Linked DNA regions of Styela clava. The protein of the gene in region 1 purifies or fractionates together with the protein of each later gene. This does not show direct contact. Links are inferred from orthologs where the notes say so. Each region holds a gene or a part of one and is shown on either strand. Other genes may lie near its edges.

What was found.
Region 2: the proteins of uncharacterized protein LOC120338787 (region 1) and eukaryotic translation initiation factor 3 subunit A-like purify together in Homo sapiens (co-immunoprecipitation; 3 studies listed by BioGRID and IntAct, with this or other methods). This does not show direct contact. The link is inferred for Styela clava from reciprocal best matches to the Homo sapiens genes EIF4B and EIF3A.

The regions. Positions count from the first base shown.
Region 1 is NC_135258.1:23,452,040-23,460,106, reverse strand, and holds the start of uncharacterized protein LOC120338787, read left to right. Parts: upstream 1-4,950; 5' UTR 4,951-4,965; coding exon 4,966-5,032; intron 5,033-8,067. UniProt on the Homo sapiens protein: Required for the binding of mRNA to ribosomes. Functions in close association with EIF4-F and EIF4-A. Binds near the 5'-terminal cap of mRNA in presence of EIF-4F and ATP.
Region 2 is NC_135253.1:8,116,676-8,124,371, forward strand, and holds the start of eukaryotic translation initiation factor 3 subunit A-like, read left to right. Parts: upstream 1-4,530; 5' UTR 4,531-4,609; coding exon 4,610-7,696. UniProt on the Homo sapiens protein: RNA-binding component of the eukaryotic translation initiation factor 3 (eIF-3) complex, which is required for several steps in the initiation of protein synthesis.

The DNA.
Region 1 (8,067 bases):
TAAAATGTTCCGTAGAAATTTAGTAACAAATATTGCCTTGTTCCCACTATCAAAAGTTGCACGTTTTACAGAAAAGACGCTTTTACTACAATGAATATGTGTTACCATTTGTCCTATTTTCTCTGCTTTTCCGGTATCATGGGCCAATGAACGCAGACTTCTGCATGACGTAACAATCAAATTAGTCAGCTGTAGGTGGATCCCCAGTGGTCGGATGAATATCAGATGTACTACTACTGCTCGCTTTTGCGTTGAGTAGTTTTCCATAGTTTTTTCAGTTATTATTAGTTCAGTTATTCTAAGGACGTGTTGAAAAGTATAAGTAAGATATTAAACACTTGTATATCCTTACCATAAATAGCAATTTTAGTTGAGCACTAGCTCATAAGACGTTGTTAAATAGGTACGGTGCGGTAACTCCGAGGAGGGCTAGACCTAAAATAATATGTCACAAACAACGATATTTTCTGGCTTGCATGAAATGTTTGTGATTAATTTAATGACTCTTCTTGACTATTCAGCAGACTTATACTACTATATAGGCCACAGCATATTTGGAAATATAAATTAATGGCTATTTCTGTAATGCACGTTTGTGTGAAAGAGAAGAAAATAATCAATTTTACCAATGTCGGTTGGTCTAAATCTGAATTCATAGAGTCGACAAGAACCTGGGAAGCAATGATAAGTTATGCAGGAGTGGGAAGAAAGTAGCACTGGAAACGATTGAGAGGTGAGAAATCAATTGTATTGTATTGTAGACAGACAGTTGATGTTTTAAAATATAGTCTGTGGTCCATACTCATACTGTCATAGAGCATTTCAGACTGTGATATATCAAAATTTAGTGTAGATATAGTCTAGTAATGATATGCAAACACTGCTGGACTGTAGTACATGCAATGAGCATATATACGCTCATTGAGTACATTAGATAAAATGCATTATGTATTCAAGGTATTAGTTAGTATTTAGTGGTATTTTTACACTCATGCTGTTCCAAATATGATTTTCTTCCTCATTTTAGATACTGTACCACAAAAAAAGAAAACGGCAATGTTCCACCAATCCGACCTAACGCAGGCTCTAATCCTTGCTGCTATCAGTGCTATAAAATGGATTAAACAAGAAGTCTTGAAGCGTAAAGGTATATGAGAATCATAATAGTTGCAAACAGCTTAGATGGCCTATTCATATTGAAATACTATAGCACTTTTCTGCAATTGGAACTGCCCATCAAACTCATGTTGGAGACTTCGTTGAGGTTTTCAATTCATTTTTCTCAACTATGAAGATCTTTTGAGGATAACGAGGCATTAATAAATAAAGCTGAGGAATTTGTTTGTTCACTGTATGAAGAGGATATGAAGAATGTAAATGATACCAGGGCACGTCTATTTAACAATGGCAAACATAAGGATTATACTCTTCCCACCCAACAATAATTCACTGAAGAAGCATGTGGCCCTCAAATCAGTTCTTGATTTGGCAAACTGCAAGTGTAAGAAAAATGATCAAAATAATTTATGCAAGTGTGCCAAAATCAACTTAAATTGCACAGATTTTTGTTTTTGTATTGACTGCAAAAATCACAGTACACTCATAGAAGAAAAGTCGATTTTCGAGATAGTGGATTTCGAAAACAATTCAGAAGGAAGTGAATTAGATGTTGCAATTGATTTAATAAGTATCATTTATTTGTTTTTTTTTCGGACATTCGTTAGTGTCGTAGTCCTGTTTCTAGAAATAATATTGCCTTTGTTCAAATACATAACCACTTAAACTAAAAAAGACCAATTGTAATATTTCTGTTCACTATGTTATGTACATTCATTTAATTTTCTTGACTTTTCCGGTAAATTTTTAAGTGAGAAGTAACTGATTTATTTGTGTTTTCGTGCTCACGATGTTAATTTGTGAATTCCTTGCTTAAAATAATTACGTTTGATAGCTTCTATAAAATGGATGTAGCTTTTTATGCTGTTCTTGTTGTAAACTGCTTGTGGTTATTACATAAAATTTATTCGCTAATGTGAATCAACGTTGTTGGTGTCGCTGCTTTCGAGGTCACTCGCGACTCCTGTCACACAATTAAAGTATTTTGTTGTCGATTACATGTATGCCATATTTTTCGTAATCTACCTAATAAATTATGATTGACTGAGGAAGTCCGATTTTGGTCAGGGAAAACATTACAGGAATACATCTGCGTTAGTGTGCTGTAGGGCTGTCGAATTACATAGTTCTTATGTATGTGTTGTAAACTGATGGTTATTGAATTTCCGGGAACCTCTTATATTCAATTTCGCATCAGGATTGTGCAACAAGCTGTAATGCTTTCAGTATGCTCATTTTCACACAAAACTGAAGAATTTATTTAGTTACCAGATGTGCGCTACGAAACTCATTTTCTGGGCGTTTTCAAGGCTTCGTCTCACGGTTCATATCCGTGGTAAGAATCTACAAGTGTTTAATTAATAACTCACTTGTACATTTTTCAACAATGTCTTAGAATAACTTAACTAATAATAACTAAACAGTGCTATGGAAAGGCTGCCCAACTCAACGCAAGGTCGAGCAGTAATAACTGATATTCATCCGCTCGCTAACAGCTGATTCGATTCAATTGTTACGTTATGCAGAAGTTATTGTTCATTGCCGAAAATGTAGAGAATATAGCACAGATCGTAGCACATATTTCTTGTAGTAAAAGCGTCTTTTCCGTGAAACGTGCAACTTTTGGAAAAGGGAACAAGGCAATATTCGTTACTAAATTTTTAAGGAACATTTTAAAATCATTTTCAGGTAGTTACCTGATGTGCGCTACGAAACTCACTTTCTAGGCGTTTTTCAGGGCCTCGGCTCGCGGCCTATATGATCCCAACTAAGTGATTTAAACCTGCGATCGTTAAACAGCTGAATAAAAAAAACGATGCTCAATAATTTGGACCAAACTTTCGCAGCGGCAAAACGAATGAACATTCTTCTGAAAAATTAACTGTCCGCAGATGTTTCTCGGATAACTCGGCTCGGCGGTATGGTCAGCATATACGAAGTTAAGGTTAAAGTCATCCAACTTCACTCGATAAATCAACACCCAATAAGACCTAAATATTAAACGAAAGATACACATTTTATTATAAAATTAATATAAAATTCCTGATGTAAGTATCGCTACTTGCACAAAACCTATTTTAACAAACTGACAGAACTACAATATAAATTATACTACAGAAACTTGCACTATTTTTGCGGTTACATGTCATGATATTAATGTATGCGTATCGCAAATTTTCAACAAGGTGTACTTTGCCAAAATAATATTAAAAAAATATACTACATGCATGGAATGAAGGATAACGGCGTATATCAAGTTTACAAGAACATCTAATAATTTGGAGTGTATAAAATAGTATATTAGCTATATATCTGACTTGAGCTCTTGCCGCAGGTCTACTAGCATACCGTTTTTCAATAATTTTATTTGTCTCCTCTTTCGCGTGAATATTTAACCTTAAATTAAGAAAACGTTTCAAAGTTTTAAAAGCGATATTGTGGCAAGATGGGAAATTATATTTCAAGCAACTTTATTTGTCAGAAAAGTAACAGGCGAACATATATTATGAAAGGCATTATTATTGGCGCGAAATATAGTTTATGCTTCTTGCAAAAAGACGATTGCTTTTTTGGATGGGTGGCATAAATATTGGGTAAAACTATCAATTTTCAAATATTTATCATGTGTGTAAGACCTAAAAAGATCTAGTAACGATTGTGGGCATTCATCGGGATTGACACTTTCCCTAGAAACAAACAAACAATTCGAAGCCCGTGTCTCTATGGGGTTCCCCCGGAAACATCAAGGCTATTTTTTCACTGTTGGATATCGATAAAATTACGATCAAGTTCTATCAACGAGAACGTAGAAGACATGATGGCGTCGCTAGATCACCTAGTAAATATTTTACATTTTCCGACGCAAAAGAATCGAAATATCCTGCCAATAATAGGTTGATAAGAGCTGCAACACCAGTCGCGGCGGCTGGTTTTTAAATTTTGTACCTTATAATGTACATGCTTCGATGAAATTCATTAGGCCGCACAATGTGCTAGCCATGAGATCGTTTACATTCTATAATTTTTGGAGCAACTGTTGCAACAGCTCGTTGAATTAAGAAAAATTTTCCCGAGAAAATTCATTTCATCGGTTTCTGGAATGATTAATGTGAAACACAGGCTTCAAACTTTCGGCATGGTGTGAACAGGTATCATAATACCAGTTCAAATAGTAGGCCTACCTGATTTAAACGTATGCATTAGGTTAATGACGTTTCACACTTGCGAAGGAAAGCGATAAGTGTTTTTGATACGGAACGTTGCTACGTAATTGCGTAACGAAGTAATTAGGGAACGTTGTTGTTTAACTCAAGTTGGCGCAGTGGACATGACAAGAATTGGAGAACATTGAATGGAATAACTTATACAATTTTACTGGTGCACGATAAATTCTATCTAATTTCGAAAGCTATTTTTAACCTCCGCAAATGTGTCGATGTCATATTAGGTTAAAAAAGGAACAAATCGAAGTTTTTGTTATTTAATTTGAAAGCTTTTCAAAAAAAAATCCACGCTTTTCAATTTTTGTATGATAATCTCTACATTTTATCTCCATCTCATAATTAGTCTCTTAGATTGTCTCTCAAACAATATAAAACTTATCTGCATATAATATAAGGTTCGTGAGATATGAGGTTTTAAAGTTGCATAACTCACACGAGATGATAAGATAACTATCGTAACTTTCACGACCAGTATGATTCCACGAGGCAAATAGCAAAAGAAAAATAATGAAATTACCCGAATAAAATGCAAACCAGGGTAAAATTTTGCACTCGGTGTCTCCGCACTTGGTTTATAGTCACTTTGCTTCACAGTGGTGTGAGCACGTTGGTGTTAGGCACAAACATGTTTGGAACTCCGAAAATGGCCATCTGGCTGGGTTTTCGACAAACATCTAAAGCTCATCTCTCAGGTCACCTGCATTTTGTTTGTTGTTGTTTTCGGTTTCGAGGACTCCCGGCTAAATCTGGGATGCTTTCTCTAATCTGATTCAATAACATTTTCAAAATGACTGCTTGGCTTGGGTACCGTAACAGTACCGATAACAGAGGTACAGTACCGCCACCACAGGGGTACCGTACCGTGCGTATCATATCGTAGCCTAGTCATTAAAATATAGGCATAACGGTAATTATCTCCTATTACGGTACCGGTATGTTACAGTGTTAGGCTGTTAGGAGAGTAGGACGAGTTATACATCAGCATCTGAGCATACCTGTACCTCAGTAGGGTACTGGCGCGGCGGTGTGGCTCAACGGGCTAAGCGTTAGGAATACGCTCGCCACCGCACCTCTAATTACTCTGCGTGGTTTCGAATCCCATGCAGGGATGGTTATGTGCGAGAGGATTGCTGGACTCCTCACTGTCGTTGGGTGGTTCACGTAACCGCTGGTCGGTTACGGCTTTCTCCACCACCAAGTCCATGCTTCCGAAAAACAAACAATATAACTAATCCTGTAATCCCATACCCGACTTGGTAACCGGACGAGAGGCCATGGTTCGCCATATGGATAAGCCGTCTTATCGGCTTTCCTCTCCCCCGGGATAAATATGTAAATCCTACTGACTGACTGATGGGTATTTGTTTTCAATAGTGTTTCAGAATATACCGTACTGTACTTTTTAAAGTGTTGTGACAGTGTGATGCGGCTGTCAGTACAGCATCCGATTCCGGATTTGCGGCTGTATTCTGAAACATCGAAGAAATGCATGTGTGTCTCTGAAACCAGGGACTTCGAGCCGACTGGAAGCTCGATGCGTGAGCAGTCTGATGTCTTGAATGCCCCAGTCCAGCAGTCTGGATTTCATGATCTTTTCCAACAAGAAATTGGGGGTGCAATCAGAAATTCCATTCCATATACGCTATGACATAATTCATCCAAAATTAATAGGCTTCTGGTCCGAGATATGATGAATGCACATGCAAAATTTGGAGCAGATTTACCTCGCTTTTGCGAGATATCGCTTGTATCTAACAGACAAATACCTATCAACATACTTCTGTACTTACCGATCAAGATCGATAAGTTATAAGGTCTTTTTTGCTATGCATTTTTCAATTAGGCCAAATCTTGGAAGCTAGAGTATAGTCAACAGTTGTGGAGCTACAATTCTGCAATTTGTCGGCATCTTTCTATTACTGGAGCGCTAGTGCCCTCGGCCTTGCACCTGCCATGGAATCCAGTCTGGTGAATTTCTCAATGTGGCATTGAATTGAGTTATTCTCGTATAACAGTATAAATTACGCAAGTTGAACATTTGTGGCAAATGAATGCTTCGATGCAGCATTGGAATAAATGATTCTGCTAATTTGATTCTCGTTTTCTTCGATCTATTCTTGTATAAATCATAAAGTTGAACATTTGCGGCATAGGAATGCCTCGTTGTGGCATTGGCTCAAGTTATTGTTTTTATAAATTAAATCATCTAATGCCTCATCGGGTTATTAAGTTTACTGTTTTAGTCTAGATTGTTGGTGTCCAAATTCAAATAAAGTATGATATCATATATGTTGTTATCAAAATGTGATTTTCATGTATTATCGTCAACACGCCATCATATAGTGTGCCATCCTGGATTACAGGATTATCAAATAGCCTATGTTTCAAATTGGGCATATTTTTAACCGCCAATGAATGTCCACTCAATGAGTTAGTACAGGGTGGTCCAAACTATGGCACACACCGACCGGTCTTACTACTTACTGAATACAGCGCGAAACACCACAAAGAGCGCGAAACAGCGGAAAACAGAGGGAAACAGCGCTAAACAGTGGGGAAACAGCGCGAAAGAGCGCAAAACAGAGGGAAACAGTGTGAAGCAGAAAAAAATTTTGCAATGAGTTCGAGGCACCTTGTTTTGAGTTGGAGTACCACGGCAGCAAATTAAAAACACAAACCAACGTATGTAGCCAGTAATGCTGTAATGGCAGGTCTGCCCCTGCTGGTGACACATTTTAGGTACCATAATTAGAACATTTTCCATATGGATATGGTTGACTTTGGGGTTAGGGTTAGGTAAAAAGGGTCCTCCAGAAGTATGTGCACCAAGATGGCGCACAACCTGAAAATAGTATGTGTGTGTGTGTGTAGCGGATTCAGGTTGTGCGACATATTGTTGCACATACTTCTGGAGCACCAAAAAGGTAGATAAAATTTCGCATGATGACCTATAATCCGGTACATAACCTTGTAAATATACCGGAAATAGCGCCATAAAACCATGGCGAGAAGCGCCGTGGTTCTTTCGTGGCAGGAGGTGGTAATGACTGCGTCTCCTGTTTTGCGCTGTTTCCCTCTGTTTTGCGCTGGTTTCGCGCTGTTTCGCGCTGTTTTGCATTCTTTGCGGTGTTTCGCGCTGTATTCAGTAAGTAGTAAGACCCCACACCGACGCATGCGGCCCGCTGAACAATTTTAGCGTACACCAAACCATTGGCAGATATTTGTATTTATTAGCAAAATATTTTTTTATCTATTACAACTGGGATTGGGATCTTGAGATTTAAGTCTTTATCACAATTCCGATGTCAGGAATGATATTTGTTAAAATCACATAATTTCAAGGTTGGCATTACAAATATGCAGACAGTACCCAGAAATTCGATGACACATGCATTTAGGGACTAAAACTAGTTTTAAATCTTTTTTGACATCTCTGCCTATATTCAGACATTGCATAGTTTCGGCAGTGTTCAGTAGGGCACAGTTCTCTGATTTTTGGCTAGAAACTCTAAAGAGCTGCGGTAATTTTTTTCCTTTGGTAAATCAGATTATTTTTTTCTGAGGAATCCCTTGGGCTTCCTTTTAATTCATTGTGCAGTGCCAGTTTTGAATTATTGTCGATTATGGAGGCCCAAATTGTCTCGTAATAGAGGGGTTTGCACTTACTGTTTTAATTGATGTTCTTCAATATGCAGATATGGGAGCTATTCTCAGAATCAGAGAACTG
Region 2 (7,696 bases), on another chromosome or scaffold:
GGTTATTTTTGCATGAGCGCTGGCGTTAAACTTTAGTCATTTATTCAACTTTTTACACTTACTAATAGATTACCTGCTTACTAGATCTTTTGAAAACAGTGGAATATAACTGAAGATCCATTTCGTTGCCTATACTTTACGTACAGCCAACGGAACAATACGAAATAACCATTTTCAACAGCCAAACAAAACGGAAACGTATAATCTGAATTGCAACTGACAGGAGCCAAATAGACGTTTTTGTTTTTTTGCCGTCCAGTAAACAAAGTCACGTGACCCGTGCAAGTCCTCTATATTAAACTGGTTTATATGTCTCAAAAAATCATTTTAATTCAGTACTGATAAAAAAGTTTAGCCTAGATAGTCTATCACAGCATTTTCTAGTAATGCTTTAATTTTTTCATTAGTCATCGCAACCATGGGTTAAACAGAATTAAATTAATATAGTAAGGCATTTCAAAGGCTGGCATCATTCATTGTGTTGAATTTTTGCGCAACATCCCAGTAAAAAATCGATACTTATAACTATCATGACCAAAATTATTTGCGAGAAATGTATAAAATATTTTTTCTAATAAACCAACTTGTTTTTTTCCGGGTATCGTAATTTGTAACAAAGCGCACGATTTTATTTAACCTATTTAATATCAGACTGTGGTTGGATTATGCGAGACGCGTGACAAGAAGACAAATGTTTTCTACTAATTAAACTTAAGTCTTATTTTCATATTTTCAGCCATACACTTCAACCAGGAATGGACAATACCGAATAAATCGCTATTTCGAATATTAGTAAAAATTTATTTATTTTGTAAATACAAAAATGCAAATCAAAAATTAATTATAATAACAAACAATCGAAGTGCCGAAACCAACCGAAAAGGTATTCGAATATTCGATTCGTTTTAAACAACCCTGATTAGATATCGTTTATTACTCAAAATTAGATACTCAATTACTAGTAGCAAACGATCTTTTTCAAAGCTGAAACAGAGAAAAACATATATTTTTGAGATCTTCGATGTTAAATCAGCGCCTGCCAAATTTACCTTTTGATTGAAAAGAAATTCCTGACGAGTGAGCTGGAGGAGGCTGTCGTTCAAACATTTGTTGAGTGTTGGCAGCTAAGTAGTAATTAGACATAAAAATAAGTGACTTGCTTTTTGTTAATAAATGAGTTCGATCTTATACATGTGAGTTTGTTGCTTAGTTTGATGATTCACGTATAATGACATCTATAATCTGTTGTCTGTCTATAATCTGAATTATATTTTAAGTCAGGGATGTATATATGCTCATTGGGGATGAGGAGCATCATTATCCGTTGGGATTTGTTCAAAATAAATTGCTTTAAATCAAATTTTTTTTTTGCCCGTGTCGTTAAAAATTGCTGTAATGTTTGATTTTTTTTGTATTTAAATAGGTCAAATTAAAACAAGGAAAATGTATGTAACTTGCCAATTGCTACTGATTTGCAATAAACCTTTCCAAACACCACAAATATTTTTTCCCCCTTTTTTTTCTTGCAAAGTTTGGCACACCCCCAGCAAGGAGACAACAGTCTATCGTTCTAAAGGCACGGACCTAATCAATGGACGTACATCGATCGTTCCTTCTTCCATCCACGTCTATGCGATAAGAGTCGGTCCGTAAGTAGTTTAATTTTTCACATACTAAAAATACAAAATGTACGTACATTTATTCCGCCGGAAAAAATATGTGAATTCTATCCAACGACTAACATACCTATTCTATCCTAATTAATAATTGGCGATCTCAGTGATGCACAGTCGTTGGTCATGCATATTTCGTGCCCGAGCATCTACTCGTATACGCCATCTGATGGCTGGCGACAATATGGTGCAGTGACGAAAGATTCCACGAGCTTACACATGGAAGGAAATCCGCGTGTTCGCCTTGCAACTTTCATCAACTTTTGGTTTTATTAAAATACCTGTTTTACTTTTACCCCTGTTAGTTTACCAGTATACAATTAAAATTGGATAATGGTTCGGATTTATTGCTTCGAGGGTTTAGTCAACTAATCTAATTTTGGTCATCGCATTTTTTTCTTGGCAAGTTTCCTGAAATTCAGTCCTGTTTATGTCTTTGGTTTTTCAGAATACTGGAATTTGTTTGCAAAAAATATTGTCAGGCTGATACTACCCTATTTCTGTATTTATTGGTTATTTCAGTATTTAGGTGTAGATTGGTATCAGAATTTCGGTAGATTTGTCGGGTCTCATGTAGTTTCTTACCTAACATACCGGTACTTCTAGTGGGCTTAGCATGACAATTTATTCACGTATCAATTCTAACCCCCACCTGACTACACCATCCAAAAATTACGTCATTACGACGTCACAGTGACGTAATAGAGCCCTTCAAACTATACGAACTGCCATCCAAGACGCGCAAACGAGCACCCGAAATCGAACAGTTATTTCTCTCGTTTTCTCGTCGCAACGATTCCAATAGGAGAGAGACCGATAACGTCAGTCAGTTCTTTATCGTCGGCGCCAATGCCATTTCGGTCGATCGTGCGTATATTTAGCAAGCTCTATGACGTGATTGTGATGTCGTAGTGATTTAATTTTTGGCGTAATCAGATGGGGGTTAGGATTGACATATCAAAAAATTGTTATGCTACGCCTACTAGAAGTACGTTAGGTACGAAACTACACGAGACCCAATTTGTCAAAGTGCAGAAGTGTGAATTGGTCATTCGATTGACTATTTTACAATCTGAATTAAACTATGTTTGCTTCAGTACTGACAATGTTAAACATTTGACAATATTGATATTCAGATATAGGCCTAGGTTTCAACAATTCTTCACCTGAAAGAACTGAAGACCTGATATTTTACAATTTAGTTGCAAAGTATTACACTGAAATGTGATAGCAACTTTGAAATTGATTGATTTTAAAATTTACTTGCAAAGTATTGCACTGAAATATGATAGCAACTTTGAAATTGATTGATTTTAAAATTTACATGCAAAGTATTACACTGAAATACGGTAGCAACTTTGAAATTGATTGGAATGAAAAAAGCATCCTATTTTTGAGAAATCGGGGTATCTTGAATTATGTTTAATTCTATTGAGCTGGAAGTTCTGTATACAGATGTATGTCATCATTATTATCAATACACCAATATCTGAATATGTTCAGATGTTGCATCATGAATTGAAAACATCGATAGACTATTTGTCAGTAGCCTATTTGGCTACAGGAGTGGTGACTCCTCTACGGCCCATGGGCCGGGGCCAGGACCCATCTAATTGGGCCACATAGGCCGTGGCCCATAGCTTGATGGGCCGCAGCCCCATCAGGAAAAATTCAATTATCTTAACAAAATTTTCAATTTTTACCAAATTGTCAATATTCAAACCAAAAAAATATACTCCTGTAGTATGTGTTCCAGGTTAGGGTTAGGACAGAAAAAATTCAGATTTTTTACATTATAGTTCTATTATGAGTTCGGGGACTGTCTGTGTTAGCCAAGTGAATAGTTTCTTTACACAACTTGATGGGCCGCGGCCCATAGCCTGATGGGCCGAGGCCCAATTCGATGGACCGTGGCCCCGGCCCATGGGCCGCAGAGGAGTCACCACTTCCACTCCTATTTGGAGTATTGAAATACAGAAATAGTCTACTCAGCTACCAACTTTAAATTCATATGGCAGTGTCACATGAAATGAATTCTACCTTATCTAGACCAGGGGTGTGCAACATTTTTTTGTCGGTGGGCCGTATATCCAACTTCAAACATCTTGCTGGTCTACATACCGCTGTATAGTGATGAAGACACTGCGTAAAATAGCGAAAAGAAAACCATTGTGTATTTTTACCCATGTTTTTAAACATAAACTGTCGATTAGGACTGGGAAAAAATGTGAATGTTGACAAGGGCCGCCTGTTGTAGACCCCTGATGGGGGCCACAAAATTATTTTTGCATTATTCACGCGCCACAATATTGCCTAGAATAGATGAACAGCGTGATATGGAACAAACACTTTTATTGTGCAAACACATTCGATCATTATTTTTCATCGATCAATCTTCCTATATGAACATTTAGTATTAGATTTTATTTTCTTCATAATGGAGAAAGACTTTTTGCAAATATAAGTGCTTTCGAACACAGATAAGATGCTGAAAGCAAAATCCCCTTGGAAAATAGTCATTGCTCACAAGATTTCAAAATGCCATTTTAGATCATATACTTTATATTCAAGCATTGTGGTATTATCCCTCACTTATCTGGTTAAAAATCGTTTTGAATTGGTCAGCTTTATTTTAAAACTCATGTTGACAAATAACTTAATTCAAAATGATCACGGCCGATTGCTGGATTGATTCCTAAATTTGCCAATTGTGAGGTACAGGAGGTAATTACTGAATTTGTTGATGAAACAGCACCAAGAATATTTTCTAATAACAATAGAATTCAAACCACATTACTCGAAATGAAAATTACCAAAGGTGGTACTGCTTTCTAGTTTACATTTTTAATGCATGTCATATGATGTTTATATTTTACAGTTAACAACATCTGATTTAGCATATTTGTCCTTATTAAGTTTTCCGCAGTTTGTCGGAGATGCCAGAGTATTTTCAACGACCTGAAAATGCTCTTAAGAGAGCGCAAGAATTTCTTGAGGTTGGAAAGCTAAAACCAGCCTTAGATGTTCTCAGTGATGTGCTGCGAAGCAAGAAGCATCGAACCTGGCAGAAGATTCATGAGCAAATCATTAGACAATATCTAAACCTTTGTGTGGACCTCCGAAAGAGCCAGGCGGCCAAAGAAGGATTGTATCAGTATAAAATAATTTGCCAGCAAGTCAACATCAACTCTCTTGAAAATGCTGTGAAGAATTATCTCAAGTTAGCTGAAGAGAAGACTGAAGAGGCAAAGGATAAATCAACTGAGACCGCTTTGCAAATGGTTGAAGATCTTGATATGATTGATTCGCCAGAAGGTGTTTTGCTTAGTGCTGTTACTGGTGAGAAAACCCATGATCGAACCAACCGTCTCATGTTGACACCTTGGGTCAAGTTTTTGTGGGAAAGCTATCGCCAATGCTTGGATCTGCTGAGAAATAATAACAGAGTCGAGAAATTGTATCAAGATATTGCTCTAAATGCATTTGAATTCTGTTTGAAGTATGATCGTCGTACAGAATTTCGAAAGCTTTGCGACAATCTTAGAAACCATGTGAAATTGAGTGAGCAGCGTCACCAAACAGCAGTATCTATCAATCTCACCAATGTGGAAAGCCAGTTGTTGCACCTTGGCACAAGGATTGCACAGCTTGATAGTGCTATTAAGATCGAGCTATGGCAAGAAGCATTCAAGGCTGTGGAGGATATCCATTATCTGATGTCACTTTCGAAAAAACCACCAAAGCCCCAAGTTTTGGTGAATTTTCATTCAAAGTTGTCTCTGGTCTTTTGGAAAGCTGGCAACATGCTTTTCCATGCAAGTTCAAGGCACCATTTGTTTCGACTCACCAAAGAGATGAAAAAGAACCCAACTAAGGATGATTTGTCTAGAATGGCTTCTCTCATGCTTGTTTCCACATTAGCTATCCCAATCACTGAGCAGAAACATGGAATTGGTAAAATGCTTGATATGGAAAGTGCTTTGATTGACAAGCACTTAAAGTTGGCAAAGCTTCTTGGGCTCAGCAGACCACCAACTCGTTCAAGCTTGATTGAGGATCTCAAGAAACACAACATATTGCAATACACACCTAAACAGCTGAGAGATCTCTTCCAATGGCTTGAGGTTGATTTCCATCCACTTCGTCTCAGTGCACGTGTTGGACAGTCATTGCAATGGATACGTGAGCAAACAAGAGAACCAGAGCTTGCACAATATATCACTGCTTTGGAGGGAAATGTTGTCTCTCGTGTTCTGCAACAAGTTGCCAATGTCTATCAAACCATTGAGCTATCTCATCTTTTGAGTCTTCTTCCGTTTTGTTCTGCTTTTCAGTTGGAGCGTGCTATTATTGATGCATCTCGCAATGGTCAGATTCAAGTTCGCATTGATCATAGTAAGGGTGCAATCAGGTTTGGCACTGACTTGAATGCTTCTCCACTTTATGTAGAGGATGAATTCTTTGAACCGCAACGCCTGCAACCTCTGCCAAGCGAAAAAATTTCTCAACAATTCAACGAAATGGCTCAATCACTTCATGTTGCTTACAGGAAACTTCAACCACAGGCAGAAGTGGATAAGATGCTCCAGAGGAAAAATGAAATTCTGAACCTCTACACAAAAACTTGGAGGAAAGATCAGCAAAATATATTGCAGAGACGACAAGTTATTGAAATGCGCAAAGAACAGCTTGAAGAATTCAGTAGAGAACGGGAGAAGCAAGAGCAAAAGGCTGCCAAAGAGCAAGAAGAAGCTGTTAAAGCAGCTGAACAAGAACGACTCACGAAGGAAATGAGAGAACGGGAAGAAATGCGTCGCCGCGAGGAAAAGGAAGATGAAGAACGTCGGGTGGCACAGGATCGCCTTGAAATGATTCGAAAGAGTGAACTTGGAGCAAAAATGCTTAAGGACATTGATGTGGACACTTTCACAAAAATTGATCCAGATGAATTAATGAAAAGACAAATGGAAACCATGGAAAGAGAAAAGAAGGATATGCAAGATAGACTGAAAGCTCAAGAGAAGAAAGTGGATTACTTTGAGAGAGCCAAACGTCTTGAAGAGATCCCGCTGATGAAAGAAAAATATGAAAAGAAACGTGAGACTGATGCCATACTATGGGAGGAACTAGAAGCAGAGCGCATTGAAAGAACCAAGGTTGAACAGATCATCACAAATCAAACCAAAGAGAGATTGTCAAGGATGAAAGAGGATCGAAATATATATTTACAGAGTCTGAGAGAATCAAGAAGAGCAATCTTTGATAAAAAGCATTCAGAATTCGAAAAAATGCTTTTCGAAGTTCGCGAAGAACGACTCGCTGAAAGAAAACAAGAGAGAAAAGAGCAACGTCGTCAAAAGTGGCTCAAAGACAAGGCAGAATATGAACAAAGAATACTTGATGAGCAGTTGAAGAGAGAGCGCGAAGAAAAAGAGCGTGCTGAACGTGAAAAACAAGAAGAAGAGACACGTGCATATGAAGAGAAGATGCAAGCACTTAAGATCGCTGAGGAGAAGCGACTGCAAAGAGAACGTGAGATTGAAGCTAAGATTGCTGCCCAACAGAATCCGAATGCCTATAGACCAAGAGGTGAAAGAGATGGCCCACCAGCACGCAGAGATGATGATAGAGGTGCCTGGAGAGGACCTGGCGGTGGGGGTTCACGTTTTAAAGATGATGCACCAGATGATAACCCCTGGAGAAGAGATGGACCACCTGCCGAAAAACAAGCGTGGCGCCCTAGTCGACGAGATGGGCCGCCTCGTGATTTCGACTTTCCTTCAAGGATTCGAACGGATGGTCCAAGAGATAGAGGTTGGGAAGATAGAGGTCCACCAAAAAGAAGAGATGATGACCAACCCTCAGATTGGAGAAGACGTCGATCACCTTCACCAAGACGACCACGCTCGCCCGACAGATATCAGCAAAGACGTATGTCCCCACCAGGTGGAAGAAGTCCTCCACCTAGAAGAGGTTCACCAATGGGTCGGCAAAGCTCTCCACCAGGCCGTGGAAGTCCTCTT